Linked DNA regions of Oryzias latipes. The protein of the gene in region 1 binds, or shares a complex with, the protein of each later gene. Links are inferred from orthologs where the notes say so. Each region holds a gene or a part of one and is shown in the gene's direction. Other genes may lie near its edges.

Region 1 (3,966 bases):
CTTTTCTGCCACGATCCAATTCGCCAACAAATCTGAAGTTTGTCCACTTCTTCCTTTAATTCCTGTGAATTAGGTCTGCGTACTCGCACTCCATCTGGCAAAGGAGCTGTGCCGCACAGATGAGGATGGTGAGCACTGGGTCTCGGTAATGAGGAAGGTGCCGGTCCTGCCCTCAGTTATGAGCGCCATGGAGCTCAGCCTGCGCTCCAAACACAACCTGTACTTCACCGAAGCTGCTCTGCATCTGCTGCTTACACTGGCTCGCACTCCTCAGGTAAGAAAAAACGCACACAGAGTACAAGTCGCTGTGACTTTGAGTTGTTTTCTGTTTTTGTGATCATTTTTAACCTGCACTATTTGTAATCCACCATCTGTCACCACTAGATGTCTCTGTTCCCTATTATCCTGACAGTTTTTTTGAGAAACTGTCAATCTTCATCTTTAGTTTTCTCTTTTTTGCTGTTGCTCTTGTGTTTTGTCCTCTTTGCTGATTTGTTAGCATTTTTTTCTTCCGCTGTGTTGAAACTTCCTGTTTTGCACCTGCAATTTAAATTCTGCTCATGACATTTCCTTTGTCTATTACGTCTAAAATGTTTTTGGTGGAGATGGAGACGTGAAAAACCCAAACTGTGTTTCAGTCTGTGTTTAATGTGAAAGAATCTCCGGAGGACTAACAACAGCAGCCGCAGTTCATCACTACAGCAGTTACACAACAGACTGTAAATCTTCTTAAATGATCAGAGCTTATTTAATTCTATCTAAATGACTGCAGGAGAAGGAAAATAAAAAGCTTTTGAGGATTTTGAATACATTTGGAATCGGAATGTCAGATTTAAGCTTTTGAAGTTCTCCTCCTTCTTTTTTTTTTGCTCTTCTTCAGGGAGCAGCGGCTGTAGCAGGAGCCGGAGTTACTGAGACCATCTGTCTTCCTCTTCTCAGTGTTTATGAAGGTCCATCAAATGGAGCCTCTCAGGTGGAATCCGTTATACATTCTTAGAGATTTTCGGGCCAAATCCAGTCGTTCTGAAAGTGTTGCTTCTGTTAGCAGAGCTTCTCCAGGAAGTCGCAGGATGTGGCCTGTTGGCCGGGCGTTTACCGCCTCTGCATGTCTTTGATGGAGAGTCTTCTCAAGACGCTGCGCTACCACTTCATTAATGAAGCCCTGGACTTTGTTGGAGTTCATCAAGAGCGCATCTTACAGGTACGATCGATCAGGACGATTCAGACCAGTGGTCCCAAACCCCCGTCCGTGGACCGGAACCGGTCTGTGGGACGGTTGGTACTGTGCCACAGAGAAAAATAACGCGACCTACAATCCCTCCTGTTTTTATTTATAATCTGACTCTGATGGAAGTTTTATTTTGGAAAACTACAGGATTCTCTCCACTATATCCGATTCATTCTTGACGAATGTCAAGTCGCTCAGTCACATGTCGAAATTCCCTCTTTCCTAAAGCGTCTGCGCCGACCGCTAAAGTGAAACCACCAAGCTAACAAAGTTGAGACAAATCGTTTTTGGAAAGTTTATTTTCGCAGGAAAGAGCCAAAAGGGAAACAGACGAAGAGCCTTTGACTTCAAAATAAAAGAAATCTACGTTAAACAGACAACCCCAGGAGTTTTTACTTGAAATGTGGATTTATTGCGACAGTTGTTTCAACACTCTATAGTAATGCTGAATATTCAGCAACCAGCTGTCTAATGTTATGAAGATGCTGCTAATAAAGATACTCAAACAGTGTAAGACAATTATTATTATATTTAGAAAACAACAGTTTTAGTTTTGTATTTATCCATTACACCTTAAAAGTCAGATTAGGCTGAGGTTGGCGTCTGATTTTATGTATTTTTTAAGCTTCTATTTCTACGCTAGATTTAATGTAGGAACTATTCAAGTTTAAAGCAGCTGCTGATATTTTACAGGGAATGAAGATAAACTTTACCTCAAAAGTTAAGTGAAACCGGAGGCTGTGAAAATTTTGTCTGACATTTAAACGGTCTGTGGCCTGAAAAAGGTTGGAGACCACTTCTCAGGTTCTCGTGTTTCAAACTTGTTCCGGCAAATCTGGATCCATGCATCCTTTTTGCTGAAGTCCTGTAGGATCCAGGGCGGTTTGGGTTTAAAGGCATGTCGGTTTCTCTTCCCTCAGTGTCTGAACTCCATGCGCACCGTTCAGAGCCTGGCCTGCTTGGACGAGGCGGATCACACGGTTGGTTTCCTCCTCCAACTGTCCAGTTTCTGTAAGGAGTGGCAGTTTCACCTCCCCAAGCTGCTCCTGGACGTGCAGGCGAGTCCACATTTCATCACACTTTCAGCAGGAGATATCATTCGGAGCTCATAAACGTTTTTTCCCCTTCTGTTTGTGTTCAGATCAACCTGTGTTACCTGTGCCAGACCTGCACATATCTGCTCCACAGCAAGAAGATGCTCCATCACTACCTGCAGGTCTGAACATCTAAGGATTGCTTAACATTTCATAAAAGATGCTTAATAAATGTCACATTTGTCGTATATCCCTACCAGAAACTTTGTGTACTTGACAGACAAAAAAAAGTCATGAGTTTGTGTTTTGTAGGCCAAGAATGGTGAGGCGTTGCCTCCTGGTCCCCTCTCCAGGACCCAGCGCCCCCCTCAGACTCAGGCAACAGCAGGGGCAGCGGGGGCAGAGGAAGCCGAGCAGAAGGCCCTGCTGACCGTGCAGTGCAGCCTTTTGAAGATCCTCAGCAAAACCCTGGCTGCTCTGCAGCACTTCACTCCCGACTGCTGCCAGATCCTCCTGGACCAGGTGAGACCGCTCAGATCCTCCGCTTTCCCCTCAGGCTCTCTACACATGTGATGCACGTTCACGATGGACTGTCATTACTTAGTACTAGCGCATAAACCTACAGTGGGAAGACGCTTGGCGTCGAAGCGGTGCAAATCTAGTGAGTCTAGCTCCAGGCTTTTTTTTTCCCTCAGCTCTATCCAGATACAGGAAAGACTTGGTGTCATAGAATTCTGGCTGGGCAAAAACTGCTATTATTAATTTCTCCTTCATGATGAATTTAAAAACGGTTGGCACTTCTGTGACTCAAAAAGGACGCCATCCATTCGTCATGACCACAAATGTCCCCGATTGGTCAAAGTTCATCAGGTTTTACGTGGAAGCCCAAATTGCGCATATATGCACATTTACACAGACCTCTCATTGAAGGCACAGTACAATGAACGTAGCTTTACATGAGCGGAATATGTGCTCGACTATTTACTAAGCCACTTCTGCATCAGTGCATGGACCTGGCCGAGTACCGGACCCTGTTTGTGCTCAGCTTCACGACTCCGGCCTTTGACCCCGATGTGGCGCCTTCATTTGGGACCCTGCTGGCTACGATCAACGTGGCGCTCAGCATGCTGAGCGAGGTACTCTTCACATTTTTGTTGCAGGTTTTAGCTGCAGGCAGTCCTTGAGCGTTTTATGTTCTGTCTGGACAGATGGAGAAGAAGAAGGAGACGGCTTCGGTCAGCATAGCATCGCTGGCTTCATCCGAAGAGCTCCAAGCTCTGAAGTGAGTCAACTCCTTTCTGTAGTCAAGCAGCATGCGGTAGTGCACCAAAAGACGCTTTCTTTCCCCCCTAAGGTCACTGCTGATGTTCACCATGGAGAACTGCTTCTACGTGCTCATCTCTCAGGCTGTCCGGTGTCTCAAAGACCCCTCCATCCTCCCGCGGGACAAACAGAGGCTCAAGCAGGAGCTCAGCTCAGAACTGGTGAGGGCTTTGAAAGTTCAAAGATGGGATTTTAAATGAGTAATATGCAGACTATAGAACAATTGGAGGATTAGTAGCACAAAAAACATTTTTCATTCTAGTTTTCTACATCGTTTAGTACAAAAAATTAGATCTTTGCAGGTACAGATGTCATCTTTTACTCAAATGTTGACTTGCTGGCAAAACATAAGAAAAAGCAGGAAATCTTTGGTCAAAATGC
Region 2 (3,966 bases), about 2.5 Mb from region 1:
GTCTGTTTCCAGCGGTATTATCTTGCACGACACCTGTTTTATAAAAATAATGCCCCGTTAGCTTAAGTAGGTCGAAGGGTGTTGTCTCGTTCCCAGACATTTTTTGAATTCCGAGCACATTCTGAGAACCGCCGCGTCCATGTGGACAGCTGATGCTACAGTTAGACACAGCTTGTCATTCCTGCTTCCTGTTTAGACACACATGGTGGACTTCAAGATATTGTGAAAGTTTTTCTGCTGATGCAGAGTGTGGAACATGACTTTTTCTGTCCTACATTCTTTTGTTTTGTTTTGTTTTCTACTAAAGGTTTTGGCTGTTCGGCGGCCACACCTGTGTTTGGCCAACAATCCACCACTGGGAGCATATTTGGACAGGTATGGTCCTCGAATTCACAATGATTCAATGCCTTTTGAACCAATTTTCATGAATACACGTCTTTGCTGGTTAATTGCCACCAGCAACAGCAACCTTCAACTGGTGGAGGTTTGTTCGGTCAAAGTTCGACCGGCGCTGCAACCTCGTCCTCTGGCGGATTCTTCAGCGGGTTGGGAGGCAAACCCAGTGAAGACGCTGCCAACAAGAACCCATTTGGTACCACCGCCTCCACTGGCGTGTTTGGCCAGAGCACGCAGTCTGGTACGTTTACAGTAGGGATGCCCACATTTTTTGCCGGGATGCGAGCTACTTTTGAAACAACCAGCTCCAAATTTAATTTTTTTATATTTATTTACTAAAATACAGACTTGTTTTGAGAAGCAGATTTTTAAATGAATCAGACAATTATTCAGAATCAAATTGCTAAACTTAGATGTGAGATTTTTACGTGATAATCATTCTTCCATCAAACTGACAGCTCTTTGAATTGTGTGTTGTCATGTCAGTGGCGCCACAGCGCACAGTGTGCCGACGACAGAAATGATCCGTGTACGTTTTGTTTAAGGTTCTGCTTTCTTGACCGGCCTCAGGCCAGTCAGGAAAAAATATGGCACATCGACTGTTACAATGCTCCTGACGCTAAACGCTCACAACTTTCTGAAGTCAAAGAGGAAGAAAAACTCCATATGAGCGAGCAGAGAGCTCGGTGTAGTTGAACTCGCATGTCCATTGACGTATGTTGATTTGTCATTCTTTCTACCTGTCAATCAAGTGACGTACCACACTCTGCAAGAATGATGATTGTCTGACAGCAACATTTTTTGTGTATTTTTGGTTGTCTGCAATCTACACAAACTTCCTTTTGACACATTGGACTCTCCTTTCTTAAATAAACATGTAAAAGGAAATGTCTGAACTTCAGGCATTATTTGTGTATTGCACCGAAAAGTCTGATGGACTGTAAATAAATCTGCTGTCAAAGCTTACATGTTATTGTTTCTTTCTCTTCTAGGGCCCAACAGCCTCTTTGGGAGCAGTAGCGCCAAGACCTTTGGATTTGGTCAGCCCTCCTTCGGGGAGCAGAAGCCCAGTGGGACCTTCAGTACTGGTGGAGGCAGTGTTGCATGTCAGGGCTTTGGTTCCTTCTCCACACCATCTAAATCAAGTAGGTCCTGCTTTATTATCCTTTTTTTTGAGCTGTGAATCCTTCATTACGTGGCGATCCAATTTGACTCACAAATCAAGATTGTGAAACACGATTCTTCAGTCAAAATATGTCTGAATTGGTGCTGTATGTATGTGAAAATTGAAATATATATATATATATAATCATCATTTATACAGAACAGATAAAAACACAAGGTTTTTATTAGAAAAAATAATATTTATCACTTTAAACAATGTCAAACTTTAAAAAAACTTCCTGGTTAACTTCAGCAGTGAACAAAACATAAGTGTCCCTGTAGTTGTGGATCCGTTTAAGCAAAAGCTGAAAATGTTCACAGTTTTTCCATCCTCAAAGCAATGCTGACTGCAGTCATAGTAGATAGATGGCAAGAAGACAGTAAATGAAGACACAGAAACACCTCAGTAAAAAATCTCTGTAATGAGTAGAAAACACTCAAAGTCCTTTCATCTAAACTGACAACAGACAGGTTTTACAGACTCACTCTTTTCATCTTTAGAGGAAATTGATCACACGATTTATTTTAGATGATCTTAAATTCATATTCGGTATTTTTTTTAGTCTAATCTATTTTTTAAATACCGGTATATCGAACAAATTATTTTTTCCCTCCAGAATTTCTATCTGTAAACTAAATTTCAGTCTCTTGTTTTTGATCTAAGTCAGTGCAAAAAACACTCAAAAGCTTTACTTTCAAAATGAGAAGTGTCACCAACACTTTACTTTGAAGAATGATTTACTTCCTCTGACCGTAGCACACACTGCACATTTACTGCAGTTTAGAGCAATAGTTACATTTTTTGAAGTGTATTTTTACCACACTGTACTTGATTCATAAGTGTCGCAAATAAGAGATTTTTGGGAACGGATAACAAGTATCCGAGGATTCGGATACTTGTTACAGCCCACTCTTTATCTCATAAAAAAATTTTCAGCAGTGTAAAGATAATGTCTAAATAACCTGATTTAGTTACAATTTCGATTTTGCATTCATGTTGAAAATGTGAAATTCAAGAAATACATCAAATCTATGAATTATTTGGTGTCATAATGATGAAATGTTTGACTTTTTTTTTTTCCTCAACTTGACCATCACTCATATCCACTGAGACATTTTCTTTTACTGAAGTCCCTATTAAAGGCCTTTCAATGGTTTGTGCTGTTGGAATCTAAGCTTGTGACATTAAGTCAATCAATGATTTACTGGGGCATGCTGGCTGTAATTTCAGCTCGCCTTGCTCTGAGGCTTTAAATTACTGTGATGTTTTCGTGTCCTAGTGTGCTGCAACACCATAGAACTCAACCTACTCAACTCAGAAGGACTTTGTGCTACAAAAACAGGAAAATCATGGGTGTAAAATCCCCAAGAAGTGGGGAAAAAACCCAGACAAAAAGAGTTGAAAGCCTCTTGACGCTTTTCTTACCTACTAGAATAGTTTTAGTTATTGTATGTACAGCTATGAAAGATAGTTAATCAACCTAATCTCTGTTTTTGTGTCCTTATTCCAAACATGACAAACATTTGGTTTCTTCAAGAAAATTAAGCGAACACACTGAGAAATGCTCTGAAAATTGCTTCAAAACCCTCCGAGCTTCTCACTAAGCAGTTTTCGACCAAGCCGGCACCCGTCCACTGCCCTCCTTTTCAAGCCTTCACCTTGTTTCTCTCTCTCTCTACAGCGAGCGGCTTTGGCAGCGCCCCCGTGTTCGGAAGCCCCCCTTCTTTTGGCGGTTCTCCTGCATTCGGTGGCGGCGCTTCATTCAGTTCAAGTCCGTCTTTCAGCAACCCTTTAGCTTCCCAGTCCAGTAAAGTGTTTGGCGAGGGAACAGCAGCCGCCAGCATGGGAGGATTTGGGTAATTATTAAAAAAAAAAGTATTTCAAGCAGTTATTGATTTCAATATGTGGCCCATTTTATTTGTTAAGTTTGCTGCTTTTGTAACAACATGAATACATTTGGTGTTGTGTGGCTTAGTGTAGTAGTATTTATGTTCTGCACCTACAGTCAATGTTTTGGTTTGGAACTATGTGTCATTCGGTTGTTTATGCAGCAGAGTGAGGAACAGCAGGTTTTGACTCACAGTGTGAAGCAACATGGAAATCCAAACATGTTTGTTTTCGCAAATAGAGCAAAGATGTCTACTTTATAAACTGGATTTCTTGTAAAAGCGTTCCCAGTGGTCCTTTTAATTGTAGCTATGCTATTTTAGGCAACATCCGAAAGCTGTGTTGTTTTCTAAGACATAGTTTCTGCAGAGTGACAGGAGTTTGTGAAAGTTCGCCTCTGAGTTGTAGGCGGGACTGTTCGTTGACTGTTAGACCATCATATTTTCTACGTCACCAATAAGTTCTTTTTCAGACTGCATTTTTATGTCTGCTCCTGATTCGCAACGATTTGAAAAAAG
Region 3 (3,966 bases), on another chromosome or scaffold:
TCCAGTTTGAACCGGTGGTCCAAATGCCCGACAAGGTGGATGTGGTCACGGGAGAGGAAGACGAGCAGGTTCTCTATTCTCAGCGGGTCAAACTGTTCCGCTTTGATACAAGCACCAGCCAGTGGAAAGAGCGAGGGGTTGGGGTCCTCAAATTCCTGAAAAACAGCATCAACGGTCGCCTGAGGGTATTGATGAGGAGGGAGCAAGTTCTGAAGGTGTGTGCCAACCACTGGATCACGACCACAATGAACCTGAAGCCCCTGGCAGGTTCGGACAAAGCCTGGATTTGGTTGGCCAATGACTTCTCTGACGGAGACGCCAAGTTGGAGCAGTTGGCTGTCAAATTTAAAACTCCAGAGCTCGCAGAGGAGTTCAAGGCAAAGTTTGAGGAATGTCAAAGACTCCTCCTGGACATCCCCCTGCAAACTCCACACAAGCTGGTCGACACAGGCAGAACGGCTCACCTCATTCAGAAGGCAGAGGAAATGAAATCTGGTTTAAAAGACCTGAAATCATTTCTGACGGATGAAAAAACCAAGATCAAAGATGAAGACACGCAAGGAGACACGACGGCTTCCGGCGAGATTTCCAGCATGGTCATCAGGCCTCATGGGGAAACCACCGGGCCGACCTTGGAGTGGGATAACTATGACCTGAGAGGAGACGCTCTGGATGACACAGCTGACTCCTCTGTTTATGCCTCGCCCATTGCCAGCAGCCCCCTGAGAAAAAACCTTTTCCGCTTCGGAGAATCCACCGGTGGGTTCAGCTTCAGCTTCCAGCCTGGCATCAGCCCCTCCAAATCTCCCGCTAAGCTCAACCAGAGCCAAGCCTCAGTAGGCACTGATGACGAGCAGGACGTCACTCAGGATGAAGAGCGGGACGGGCAGTACTTTGAACCCGTGGTGCCTTTACCGGACTTGGTGGAGGTTTCTACCGGAGAGGAAAACGAGCAGTCGATCTTCAGCCACAGAGCAAAGCTGTATCGCTTCGACAAAGATGTGGGTCAGTGGAAGGAGAGGGGGATCGGAGACCTGAAGATCTTGCAGAATTATGACAGCAAACGGGTGAGGCTGATCATGAGGAGAGACCAGGTGCTGAAGCTCTGTGCCAACCACTGGATCTCAGAAACCATGAAGCTGGAGCCCATGAAGGGAGCAGAGAAGGCCTGGGTCTGGAGTGCCATGGACTTTTCTGAGGATGGGGAGGGCAAAATCGAACAGCTGGCTGTGAGGTTCAAGCTCCAAGAAACAGCAAATACCTTCAAACAGGTCTTCGAAGAGTCCAAAGTCGCTCAAGCAAAAGCAGAACTGATGACTCCAATGGCGTCTCGGCTCGCAGCGCCTAAAGACGACACAGCAGCAGAATTGGCAAGCACTCCGGTGTGTGGCAGTGCGGCTATTGCTGTTCTGGAGGAGATCACAAAGGAGCGCACAGAACCTCCTCCTGACAGCAAACCGTTACCTGCTGCCTCTCCGAGTCCAATCAACCCCTCAAAGACTGTGGTGTCTCCCCCAAAGTTTGTCTTTGGGACCGATTCCCTCCAGAAGATATTCGGCTCACCAAAATCCCAGCCGGAAGCTCCAGCTCCTGCAGGGAAAGCGAAAGATTCTGGAAGCTCTGTGAAGAGTCCTCTTCCTGCTCCTGCATTCCCGATGCACACAGGTAACTTGCTTGTTTGTTTTCCTCCGGTATAAAAAAACTGCTTTTTGCCGACAGAATTCCTGTCTCCTTCCATCTGCATCTCTGATTTCATCCTCTTTTTGCAAACTACCATTAAAATAAGTTCTTATTACCATTACATATGCATCTATAGGTCATACTATCTAGAACACTCTACTGTACATTCAAAAATATAGCTGTACTATGTAAACGTGAATAACCTGCACTAATCCAACACTCTGATGAATAATTCCAAAGCTATAGCATCTGCTTAAAGCCAAATCACATTTGGAGTTTTCTGATGTCACAAACGGTTTCTCTTTGCTGAACAACCATCATCCTTCAGGTCTGGATTTTAGGCTTTTCAAAGATAACCCAATGGCTTTTTGGACCAGCACGTCCACCAGCGACAGTTTTGAACCCGCAGGTACTCTGGTTACTGCAGTGTGTGTTAACACCTGTCAGCTGTCACCCGACTGGCTGCCTCCTACTGTGACTACTGTAAAGAAAATAACACCTGAAATGCACGAAGTGGCCGAAACGCTACAAGCTAATCCTGCATGTTCAGTGTGTTTATTTCCAGTTTTTGCTGTTGGGAGACCTTAATTTAATGAGATGTTTGTCTCGTTAAAAAAATGTATATTTTATAGGCCGTTTTGTTTTGTTTGGCCTTGTCACTATTGTTTTTTTTTTCCCCTTCTGTGACAAAGTTTAGGAAAACTAATCCTGACATTTGGGTATTATTATTACAGTGATGAAAGTCTTCCGGGAATTCCCGGAAATCCGGGTTTTTGAGCAAACCGAACGTACTTTCCGGGAAATAAAGACCTGATCTCTACGGACAAATCGCTTTCCGGATTAAAAAATGGTCTGAAATCAGCTAATTTTAGCTTTATTTTCTATATTTCTCCGCAGATCGCTTCCTCTATGGTCGTGGCCATCTCTCGTCTTCCCGGCCTAATTGACCAATGACGGGACGTTTTAGTTGCTTTCGGATGCGTCGACGGGTCTGATTGGCTCTGTCTGCACCACGTGGTCAGCGTGACTCGCTTCCTTAGAGACCAAAACTGGCGGACCCACGCTAAACTTTCACAAACACATCTGAAGAGTTTTCGATCAAATTTGTGTTAAAAAAAATGGCAGGCATCGTCATTATTGAGCGTGGTCACGACCTCAGTTGTGAGAAGACGATAAAAAACAAATTGAAGTGGTCTTGGCTGGAAAAAAAAGATTTTTAAGGTAGTGTAGGTCAAAACCTTTATTGTAAAATAATCTCAAAACCACATTTTGAAATAATTTCAATTTTAGTTTTGAGTTTCAGTTTTTATTTTGAATACATTTCTCTATCTAATTTATTTGTATTTCCTAATTACCATGATTTAGTTCAGTATAGTTGACATTAATTATAAGTATTTGATGGTTTGGACCCGCACTCCCTTAAAAAATAATGTTTACAATGTTTAGTTTAGTTTGTATGTTTGTTTTGATATTTCCCAGATTACTTAGTATTGGTGTTAAAGAATTGATTTATTATGTTATAGAATTATAGTTTAAAGCAGATCCCATATTTTGATGTAATTATAGTTTGAGAAAACGGTGCAAGTGGATGTTGTACATCAGTCATTTCTAAAGCAGAAATAATGTATAAATAACTGAGGTATTTTCATAGAATATCATAGTTACTGGTGTTCTTTTTGCCATTTGGGGCTTTGATGTTACTATATTTTAGCAATTGTATGTTTTGCAGCTTTAAGGAAAAGCGTAGATTGTAGGATTGTGTTACTTTGAGCAATTTTCCAAATTCTTTTTTAGGACCAGCAAGTCCTTAATGGAGAGTCAAACTAGGGGATTGAATGACAAATCATGATGCTCCAATTAGTCTTAGTTTCTTGATAAAGAAGTGAATAACTAGTTGCCAGAATGCACCAGAATGCATCTAAGACCACGTATTTTTCCAAAATTTCGCTCTGTGCCCGCCATATCGCTCAAAGAAAAGTTCAGGGATTTTTTCCTTGCCTGACTTTCATCACTGTTATTAAAACTCTAGGCTTGTGTAAAGCTCAGTGGTTTGGAGGTTTTGATGACCAAACGTGGAGCAGAAGTTGCGAAAGCCAAGCATCTGAAATATGAGGAGAGCAGAATCAGTTCCTTTATAGCGGCACGTCCCCAACAAACGTCACAGGGCTATTTATGGAGCAGGAAGTGTAGCAACAGCACGGACTGTAATTTCCTACCTGGCCTGATGTCTGTTAGCGATGTGCACATCAGCAAAGACTAATTAGGGATTTATGTTTTTGTTTGTTA
Region 4 (3,966 bases), on another chromosome or scaffold:
GAAAGAAATCACCAGAAAGTTGTAAAATGATCTAGAAACACAGGAGTTTCACACAATCATTGAAAAAGGGAAAATTAAGCGAAGAATGCTAACTGTTAGAATGACTAAAATTAAATATTATACATCCCAATAACTATTTTTGCTAGTTTACAAGCAAATGGTTTGTATTTTTTGAGTTTTATGAACCTAATTGTTGTTCGTTTTGATTAAAGTGACAATAAATTCTAGTGTAAATAGTGAAAAATGACTCATTAAATCCTCATAGAATCTAAAACTTATTCTTAGAACATACATCTACATTTTTGTTTCCATTATAATCACAATAAATGCCAGTTCTACTTTTTAACTTTCAAATAACACTTTTTAAAACGGAGCCTAAAACGATGGTACAATTTGACTTTTTTAATCGTTAAATCCGATTTTTCGATGGAGGGTTTTGACTCATTTTAAGAATTCTAGATCCTAGCTCTTAATGAGATTTTGAAAAAAATCCACAACTGTGCTGATTTTGAGCAAAGTCTGAAAAGGTGTAGAGCAAAGACGTGTAAAAACAACTTAAAACCTGGTAAAATGTTTTAAATTTCTAATAACACGGTTTTAATTCTGTGCAAGGATCAAATCGTTTGCAGTGTTTGTTATTACAGGGCAGTTAAATATATAAAGCAATTTATTGTTGTGAAGATAAGGAACATGCAGGTGCGATCAGACAACATATTTTTTGAATAATTCATTCATTGTGGGAGCATTTAGCCTTTTTTTTCCTCTTTTTTTTGTTCTAAACTCACCAACATTGTCCCTCAAGACATATTTATCGTATTATGTGAATTTGTTCAGAAAACTTAGAAAATTTCCTCTCAGCAGAAACCAAAAGACGACAAACTATTGAAGAAATCGAGTCTTTTCATCGCATTGAAAGTTAAATTCAGATGTGGAGAGATGCGCTTTTACCCTGCAGAAAATCAAATCAGCCGTTGCTTCTCCTTCCTGTTAACTCCTGCAGCTTACAGGAGGGATAACTAAGTGATTAAATGTTGCGGCGCTGTGACTTCAGGAGACAAAGTAGGTCATGTAATCCTACCACGCCTCCTCCTGGCCGCCTCCTGCTGCGTCTCTGTCCTGTCCAAGAATTGCAGTGTCCCTGATTTGAAAGCAATGAATATTACAAGAAAGGACTGAGGGCATTTCAATTTCCGATGGAGCTCAAAGCCACGCAGGAGGTTGGAAATGGAGTTGGACCACAACACTTAAAAAGAAAAAAGGACTTAGCTCTCAGAGATCTAAAAACAGACTAATGTTTTTATCATTGAGATCTGGATTGCTCCTCTTCTTAAATTTACCCATTTAAATTGCCTCTCTTATCTGTCTGTCCTCTAACTTTTAGTCAACATTCGTTGATTATTTTATGAATACTAATCCAGCATCATTTCAAAAACGTAATTGGCTAAATTGAAAGGATGAACTTTGCCTCCTGCAGCCTGACATAAAAAATACAAACGTGCTGTTTTCTCCGGAGAGCTGCCCTCTCTGAGAGCTGATGCTGCCTCGCTCAGATAAGACCGCTAAGTCGCCGCTGCTGCGAAGCTCAGTCTGCTTCCTCTGCAGCTCGCTTCGACCCGCCATCCGCCGCCAACCTTCCTTCCTGTCCTGCATCTCGCTTTATACTGAGACACAAAGTCTAATTTTAATTTCTTTTGCTTAATGGCGTCACTCAGGTTCGTTAAGTGCCTTCATCCCCCACTTTCTTCTGTTCTCTCTGTATCTTTCATCCCTCCGTCTCCTCGCACAGCTGTCGCTCTTTCCTCCCACTGATTTTTGTCCTCTTAACGTTCCCTCCTCGCATGTATATTTGTTCTTTGTCATTTTCTGTTTGCACGCTCGGCTGCGCCCCCCCCCCCCTTTCCCCACGTGCACACTTGTGCGCGCACTCACTCCTATCTCGCCTCCTTCATCCTTTTTTTTTCTTTCTCCCTCCATCACTCCCTCCCACCCTCCCTCTGCTGCTCGCTCGCTCGCTTTTTTGAACTAAAACGCTGTAAGTCTGAGATAAGGCTGTAAAATGGCTGACATGGTCCACCCCGTCCGACTCCTCAAACTTTCAGCTAACAAGAGGATTAAGAATTCTAATTAAAAAGTAAACTTGATGACTAAGTACCTGCGCACACCAAAATGTTTTCCAATTTCTCACCCAAAAGCTGGTAAAAAAAAAAAAAAACCTGCAGACTGCTAAAATAAAACTGTTTAGTCGACACATTTCAGTTGAAACTGACAAACCTTTGTTTTTCTTTTGCTCAATTTCTGACAGCCAATCACGTATTTTATCATTGGTGCTAAATAAACCGTTTTTTAGAGAGAGATGGATCATTATGAAGAAAAATATCGTCTCATAATTATAAAACTTTTTCTGCTCCAATGTGCTTTTGCTATTTCTGTAAAGAACTAAATCAGGTTATTGCTGTTTAATTTGGGTTTTAGTGACAAACTTGGTTGAATTAAGGCTATTATTGTCCCCGTTAAAATGTTTTCCTTCAATTCTTATTAAGAAAATGTGAAAACAGTTTTGTTAATATGCAGGTTGTGCCGCAACAGGAGAGTCTGAATGCAACAGTAAAGAACGTATGAAAATAAACAAATCCAGTCTAATTATCCGTTTTTGACGGTGGTACACAAAGCTCTTTTTCAAACTGCAATTTTTCTTCTGCTCCTGATTTAGACCAATTTGAGTAAAGAAATACTCAGAAATGCAATTTTAAGCTTCATTTTCTTAAAATACCCCCCCATCATCAAAAAGTGCTACAAGAACGTGTTAAAAACACAATTTTACCTTGGAGAGGATCTTTAAATTCAGTCAGAATCGAATTTTTTCCTAAAAACTGCAACTGATCCTAATTCTTTATTTAGTGACACGTCAGTGCAGTTATTTTTACACAGAGATTTGGAATAAAGTTTAAAAAAGATAGAGATCTGAAGAATAAAACAAAACCGATTATCTGGATTTACCATCACTGGTTAAATAAAAGTTTATGAAAATTTGTCTGACCAAAAATCTTATCTGACGCAACATTTCTAAATAAAAATATTCTTTTCCTGGTCATCGCCCTTTTCTTCTGTAGGCGAGTCCCATTTCTCGGCGAGCCAGCAGCCCTTCCTGTACTTCCAGGTGTTGTTCCTGACCGCTCAGTTTGAGGCTGCCGTGGCGTTCTTGTTCCGTGTGGAGAGACTCCGCTGCCACGCCGTCCACGTCGCCTTGGTTCTCTACGAGCTCCGGCTGCTTCTCAAGTCGTCCGGTCAGAGTGCTCAGCTGCGTAAGTATGACCTCCATCTTTTTTTCTATTTTTTTTAACCATATTTTGAGACATTTTATTGGAGCTATGATCTGTCTGCAGTGAGTCAAGAACCCGGTGACCCGCCGATGATACGTCACCTCAACTTCATCCGTCTGCTCATGCTGTACACTCGCAAGTTTGAATCCACGGATCCACGGGAAGCTCTGCAGTACTTTTACTTCCTACGGTAAGTAATCCATCTCCCTTCCTGACCCTTAGCTGCTTTACTATACATCGACATATCCAATAGATGTCGTTTTTATCGTCCTGCAGTAATGAAAAGGACAGCCAGGGAGAAAACATGTTCATGCGGTGCGTCAGTGAACTTGTTATCGAGAGTCGAGAGGTGAGTGGACCACGGTTTCCTACCAAGGCTTGGAGAAATATGTCTGCGCCAATAAATCAGTGCTGTTTGACCCAGTCAGTAGAGCTGGATTTGATATCAAACTCCCTCCGCTGATGGAAAAAAGAGACGGTTTTAGTGTCGCCCATTGGCTATATATGAGAACTGGACAGAGTGAGTGTGATTTCACATATAGAAAATGGTTTAGGCTACGTTCACACACACGTCACACACATGTCGCGCGTTCTTGTACGTGCGTTTAGCCCATGGCGTTTACACTTAATGAGTAGGGAGGGGCAA
Region 5 (4,587 bases), about 6.2 Mb from region 1:
TTTAGAAAGCCTCCTCTATGACGCTGGCTAAATACCTGTGCCCCCCCCCCCCCATGAATTCTCAGACTGAGTTGGGGGTGGGGTGGGGGGTAAAAACAGGAGGGCTGGCTGGAAATCAAACACAGATCCTCCTTCAGCTGAACAGAAAGGAGAATGTTCTGCCTCCAGAATCCTCCTCCAGTCAATCATCGCAGTGAAACTTCAGAGGCTCCAGTAGGAAATTCATCAGGAGGAGTTTTTTTTATGCTGTTATTTTCATTCCGTCACAAACTACTGCCTGTTGTTGTTGTTACCACCTGTTTTTTTGTATTTTTTTCTGACTTAGACTCTGCTGAGCTTGAATCTCTCCTGAGGCGACATGGTTTTTCACTCAGGCGTTATCTAGGATGACACATGTGACACAGGAAACGCCCCGACGTGAGCCGAGACCGGGCGGCACCTTCATCCCGGAGCACCATGGGAAATCCCTGATAAAACTGAGACAAAGCCCAAATCAGGGGTGGGGGCACAAAGACCCTCGGGAAATGCTCCAAGCATTTCCAGAGGGTAGAAACCTCCGGCAGGATTCCAGAGAGAAGGACGACTGTTCAACAAGCCAGGACCATTATGGGTTACATGCCTTTAATGTTGACAGACAGACATCAGACATAACAGGACCGTTGACCAATGTTTATGAGGAAAACTTGTCATCAGTTCAGAGTAACAAGTTACAACAAATAAAGGGTGTGCTGAACTGTTGGAGGACAAAGTCTAATATTTAGGTGTTTTTAACATGTTCTTGATGATGGAGGACCATGTATGAAGAAAATTAAGCGCAAATTTTCATTTGTTGTGAATCAGGAGCAGACTAAAAAAATGCAGTTTAAAAAAGAAAAAAATGTGCTGGGCGGTGCCACAAGCTCCGTGCTGCGCTCCATTCCGATGCATTCACTGTCAGACAAATAGATCCATAAACATCTCTGTTTTCCTGGTCTGAGCTGGAGTCTGAACTGGACGAATGGACGGATCTGATGAGGCTGCCATTTTTGTTGCACCAGTAATGTTGGGGGGGTTGGGGGGGGGGCTGTTAGATAGCAGGAAAGAGTGTAAACAAAGGAATCATGGGAAATTAGACAGGCTTACTGTGTGCCAATGGCCACAACTCAGAGGAGAACCTCTGATGAACTCCTGTGGATCTGCAGAAACTGTCCTGTAAAACTGTCCACAGGAAGGGAAATAGATCAAAAGATGGCCGGAATGTGTCTTAAAGTTATCTGGATTATTCTTTTGTGAATCACAAACTGATTTTCTATTTAAAGTTTTTCTACATTTTATTTGACTTTGAAAAGGATTCCAGCGTCAGTATTAGCAGATGTAGCAATGACAGACGACAGCAGGGGGCGCTGGTGTCCCGCTTGGGTTCAGTTTGCTCCCGAAGAAAAAAAAACAGAGCGCCACTAAGCGAGCGCCTTGCTGTTGCCTAGAGACCACCGACCAATGAGGACCTCGGATCTGAGCGCGGACACGCGGGGTTTGTTTTTGCTCGTTGAGCGACAGTAGCCGTTCCTTGGAAGTGAAATCTTCGCGTTTGGATCTGCAATTCGATCGCAATGAGTCTGTCTCTGAGGTGAGGATCGCAGCTTTTACGGTGACGTCATTTCCGGTTCTCTCGCCTTGTTAGCCGACGTTAGCATGTCGCCCGTTTGCCTCAAACATTCAGAGCTTGTTGACCGGAGACTCGGTCAAAGGGCTGCGTCGGTCCAAACGGTCCAAATGTGTGTCTGTCAAAGGGTTCGGTTCGGTGGAGCTGTCTCTGAATCAATCTGAGCTTGGCTGAAGACGTTGCACCGAAATTCTGTGACCTCTCAGGTTCTGTCCTCGGTAGATAATATTTCACCTGATTTGGACTTTCCGGGACCAAAAGCTCGTTTCGGGGAATGAGTTCTTTTATTTTGAAATAACGTTTGTTTTTCCACCATATTTGGTCAAAGGTTCTCCAAATAAACCTGTTGTGACGTCAATGTGACAGAAAAATATCAGAAATAGGATTCTGTGGTTTGTGGTCAAATACTACGATAAGACTAAATGGGTCTGGGTTCTTATTGGCTCAAATCTGATCGGAGATCTCTGAGTTGGTTGAAGCAGGTTTCTCTCTCGGCTCAGAGTTTGCCGTCAGTCTTCTCCTGCCTTCATGTCTGTTCCTGACTGATGAAGATGTTCAAACTCTTGTTTTTTTGTCTTCGTCCATCCTTCACGGTTGAACGGCGAGGTTCAAGCTCTGGTTTGTGGTCACAGGGAGAATCTGTGACTCTGGTTTTGCTCCGCAGAACCGACCAGGCCGACAAAAACAAGCCTAATAAGAGGAGGGAGCTCACCGAGGAGCAGAAGCACGAGGTCAAGGAGGCCTTCGACCTGTTTGACACGGACAAGGACCGACAGATCGATTATCACGAGCTGAAGGTGAGCGGCGGCGGATCGGATGGAAACCGTGGAAACGAGACCAAAGGTGTCATCTGTCACGGTCCCACCAGGTGGCGATGCGCGCCCTGGGCTTTGAAGTGAAGAAGATGGACGTCCTGAAGATCCTGAAGGACTACGACAGAGACGGGAACAGGAAGATCACCTTTGAGGACTTCAGTGAAGTAGGTGAGTCACTGGCCTCCTCTTCCTCAGAGCCAGGCGACGAGGAGCCGCCCTGAAACGCGTCTGCCCGCAGTGACGGACCGCATCCTGGAGCGGGACCCGAAGGAGGAGGTCCTGAAGGCCTTCAAGCTGTTCGACGACGACGAGTCCGGGAGGATCAGCCTGAGGAACCTGAGGAGGGTCGCCCGAGAGCTCGGCGAGGACATCAACGACGAAGAGCTGCGCAGCATGATCGACGAGTTCGACACCGACAGAGACGGAGAGAGTAAGTCTGCATTCGCTCAGGTTAAAGCCACGCCCCCTTCACCGGATGACACGTGTTCTGTCGTTGCCGCGGAGATGAGGGTCAACAGCCTGTACTTATGTAGCTCTTATGCAGGTCTAACGCGTTTTAAGGTCACTCTGAAGGCGGCAGAGCTGCCATGACAACAGAGGGGCAAGGTGGGGGTTCAGTCTCTCGCTCAAGGTCACTTCAACGCATAAACCTGCGACCTCCTGATCGTAGGTGGACCGCTCTTCTCCCGGTGCGGCTCCTGCTTTAGAAATCCCATCGCTCTCTGACCTCCATGGCAGGAAGGTTCTGGCGTTCCCGCTCCGAGGTCGCCGGTGATTGGGCGGAGAGCGCGGCTCCTCCCCTCACGGTTTCCTCAGCTGACCTGTTCCAGAGTTTTAGCGACCCGAAGGCCCGTACACACCGGGACGAATATTCGCCAGGCGTTATTCGCCAGCGTTTTTCTCCACGTTTTTTGTGTTCACACCCAGGCGATTTTCGCTGACGATGAGCCGAGCGAACATGCAATTTCATTCCCTGACATTAGATGGCGCTTAATGTAAACAGAAATACTCCTGTACACAAGGTGGCGCTGCGCAACTTTACGCTTCTTAAAGTCGCTTTTCACTCAGAAGAAGAGAGCAAGTATTTACACGCTTGTCAGAATCAAACAAAGAAAACATTAATATTTCAAGCATCAGTAGCTCCAACTGGTGCTTGGTTCGGGGATATTTTAGAATGTCCGTCATTATTGCTTCGCGGCTGTGTAGACGCTACTTGGCGTCTATCTTCTTCGCTGGTATGTGTGCTCAGCAAGGCAGTTTTGTGTTTGAGCGCCCCCAAGTTGTGTTTTACTGTAACTTCAGAAGCTCCAGACACGTGAGCAAAAGCGCCATTCTCATTGGTCGAATAGATTTCGATGCGACGCGTCGAAAAAAAAAAAACGAACCCGAGGCGTTTTTTTTTTTTGACGCTTTAACGCATGGCGTTTTTTCGCGTCGGTGTGCACACTCTCGTTGGTGCCCTTTGTTTAGTCACGAGGCGTTTCGCCGACGAAATTCGTCCCGGTGTGAACAGGCCTTGAGAGTCTGAGCAGACCGGTGTTTCCTCAGTAAACCAGGAGGAGTTCCTCGCCATCATGACCGCAGACTCCTGAGGAGGAGCCCGGAACGCCTTCTGAGCTGGACCCAGACGTTTCTCCACAGAGCCAGTGGACGCCCCCTCAGAGCCCGTGAGTCTGAATCCCGCTGGACATGAGAAGACTTTCCAACAGTAAAAACTGGACTGACTTTCTGTAAAGATCAAGATTTAAGTCGATCTTGACTTTTGAACTGTTTGTGTGAGTGTTTTATTTATTTTTCATAAAATAAAGAGTGTTTTCCCCAACAAAGTTCTTCCTAATAGTTCAGAATTTCCGCCGCGGGTTCAGAACCCGACAAACCCTCAGTGTGGCTCCTCTGGAGCTCAGCCGCTCTGTGACGCTGCAGCTGTTTTACCCTCAGTGTCCACTAGATGGAGACATTTCAACAACAAACTGAACGTTAGCATGAGCAGAAAAGCAATCCTCGAGCCACTTCTCCACTCCCTCTCTTTGGATTCTACTAGTTAGTAATGAAAGGGAAAACTAGTTAACTGGTTAACTAGCCATCTGTCCTGATGGTGGACACACTGAGCTTGTGATGTTTTTGATCATT

What was found.
Region 2: nup188 (region 1) and nup214 share a complex: the UniProt entries of both Homo sapiens proteins name them as parts of the nuclear pore complex. The link is inferred for Oryzias latipes from reciprocal best matches to the Homo sapiens genes NUP188 and NUP214.
Region 3: nup188 (region 1) and RANBP2-like and GRIP domain-containing protein 8 share a complex: the UniProt entries of both Homo sapiens proteins name them as parts of the nuclear pore complex. The link is inferred for Oryzias latipes from reciprocal best matches to the Homo sapiens genes NUP188 and RANBP2.
Region 4: nup188 (region 1) and nup93 share a complex: the UniProt entries of both Homo sapiens proteins name them as parts of the nuclear pore complex. The link is inferred for Oryzias latipes from reciprocal best matches to the Homo sapiens genes NUP188 and NUP93.
Region 5: nup188 (region 1) and cetn3 share a complex: the UniProt entries of both Homo sapiens proteins name them as parts of the nuclear pore complex. The link is inferred for Oryzias latipes from reciprocal best matches to the Homo sapiens genes NUP188 and CETN3.

Annotation. Positions count from the first base shown.
Region 1 is NC_019870.2:8,149,286-8,153,251, forward strand, and holds part of nup188 (nucleoporin NUP188 homolog), read left to right. Parts: intron 1-73; coding exon 74-274; intron 275-880; coding exon 881-973; intron 974-1,048; coding exon 1,049-1,201; intron 1,202-2,148; coding exon 2,149-2,286; intron 2,287-2,369; coding exon 2,370-2,444; intron 2,445-2,574; coding exon 2,575-2,784; intron 2,785-3,266; coding exon 3,267-3,398; intron 3,399-3,470; coding exon 3,471-3,544; intron 3,545-3,616; coding exon 3,617-3,746; intron 3,747-3,952; exon of another isoform or gene 3,953-3,966. UniProt on the Homo sapiens protein: Component of the nuclear pore complex (NPC), a complex required for the trafficking across the nuclear envelope. Required for proper protein transport into the nucleus.
Region 2 is NC_019870.2:10,680,328-10,684,293, reverse strand, and holds part of nup214 (nuclear pore complex protein Nup214), read left to right. Parts: intron 1-307; coding exon 308-375; intron 376-459; coding exon 460-637; intron 638-1,388; coding exon 1,389-1,541; intron 1,542-3,242; coding exon 3,243-3,417; intron 3,418-3,966. UniProt on the Homo sapiens protein: Part of the nuclear pore complex. Has a critical role in nucleocytoplasmic transport.
Region 3 is NC_019879.2:17,108,760-17,112,725, reverse strand, and holds part of RANBP2-like and GRIP domain-containing protein 8, read left to right. Parts: coding exon 1-1,665; intron 1,666-2,008; coding exon 2,009-2,089; intron 2,090-3,966. UniProt on the Homo sapiens protein: E3 SUMO-protein ligase which facilitates SUMO1 and SUMO2 conjugation by UBE2I. Involved in transport factor (Ran-GTP, karyopherin)-mediated protein import via the F-G repeat-containing domain which acts as a docking site for substrates.
Region 4 is NC_019864.2:28,045,915-28,049,880, forward strand, and holds part of nup93 (nuclear pore complex protein Nup93), read left to right. Parts: intron 1-3,110; coding exon 3,111-3,302; intron 3,303-3,383; coding exon 3,384-3,510; intron 3,511-3,596; coding exon 3,597-3,669; intron 3,670-3,966. UniProt on the Homo sapiens protein: Plays a role in the nuclear pore complex (NPC) assembly and/or maintenance. May anchor nucleoporins, but not NUP153 and TPR, to the NPC. During renal development, regulates podocyte migration and proliferation through SMAD4 signaling.
Region 5 is NC_019870.2:1,965,880-1,970,466, forward strand, and holds cetn3 (centrin-3), read left to right. Parts: upstream 1-1,440; 5' UTR 1,441-1,589; coding exon 1,590-1,606; intron 1,607-2,306; coding exon 2,307-2,439; intron 2,440-2,510; coding exon 2,511-2,625; intron 2,626-2,695; coding exon 2,696-2,887; intron 2,888-4,005; coding exon 4,006-4,049; 3' UTR 4,050-4,283; downstream 4,284-4,587. UniProt on the Homo sapiens protein: Plays a fundamental role in microtubule-organizing center structure and function. As a component of the TREX-2 complex, involved in the export of mRNAs to the cytoplasm through the nuclear pores.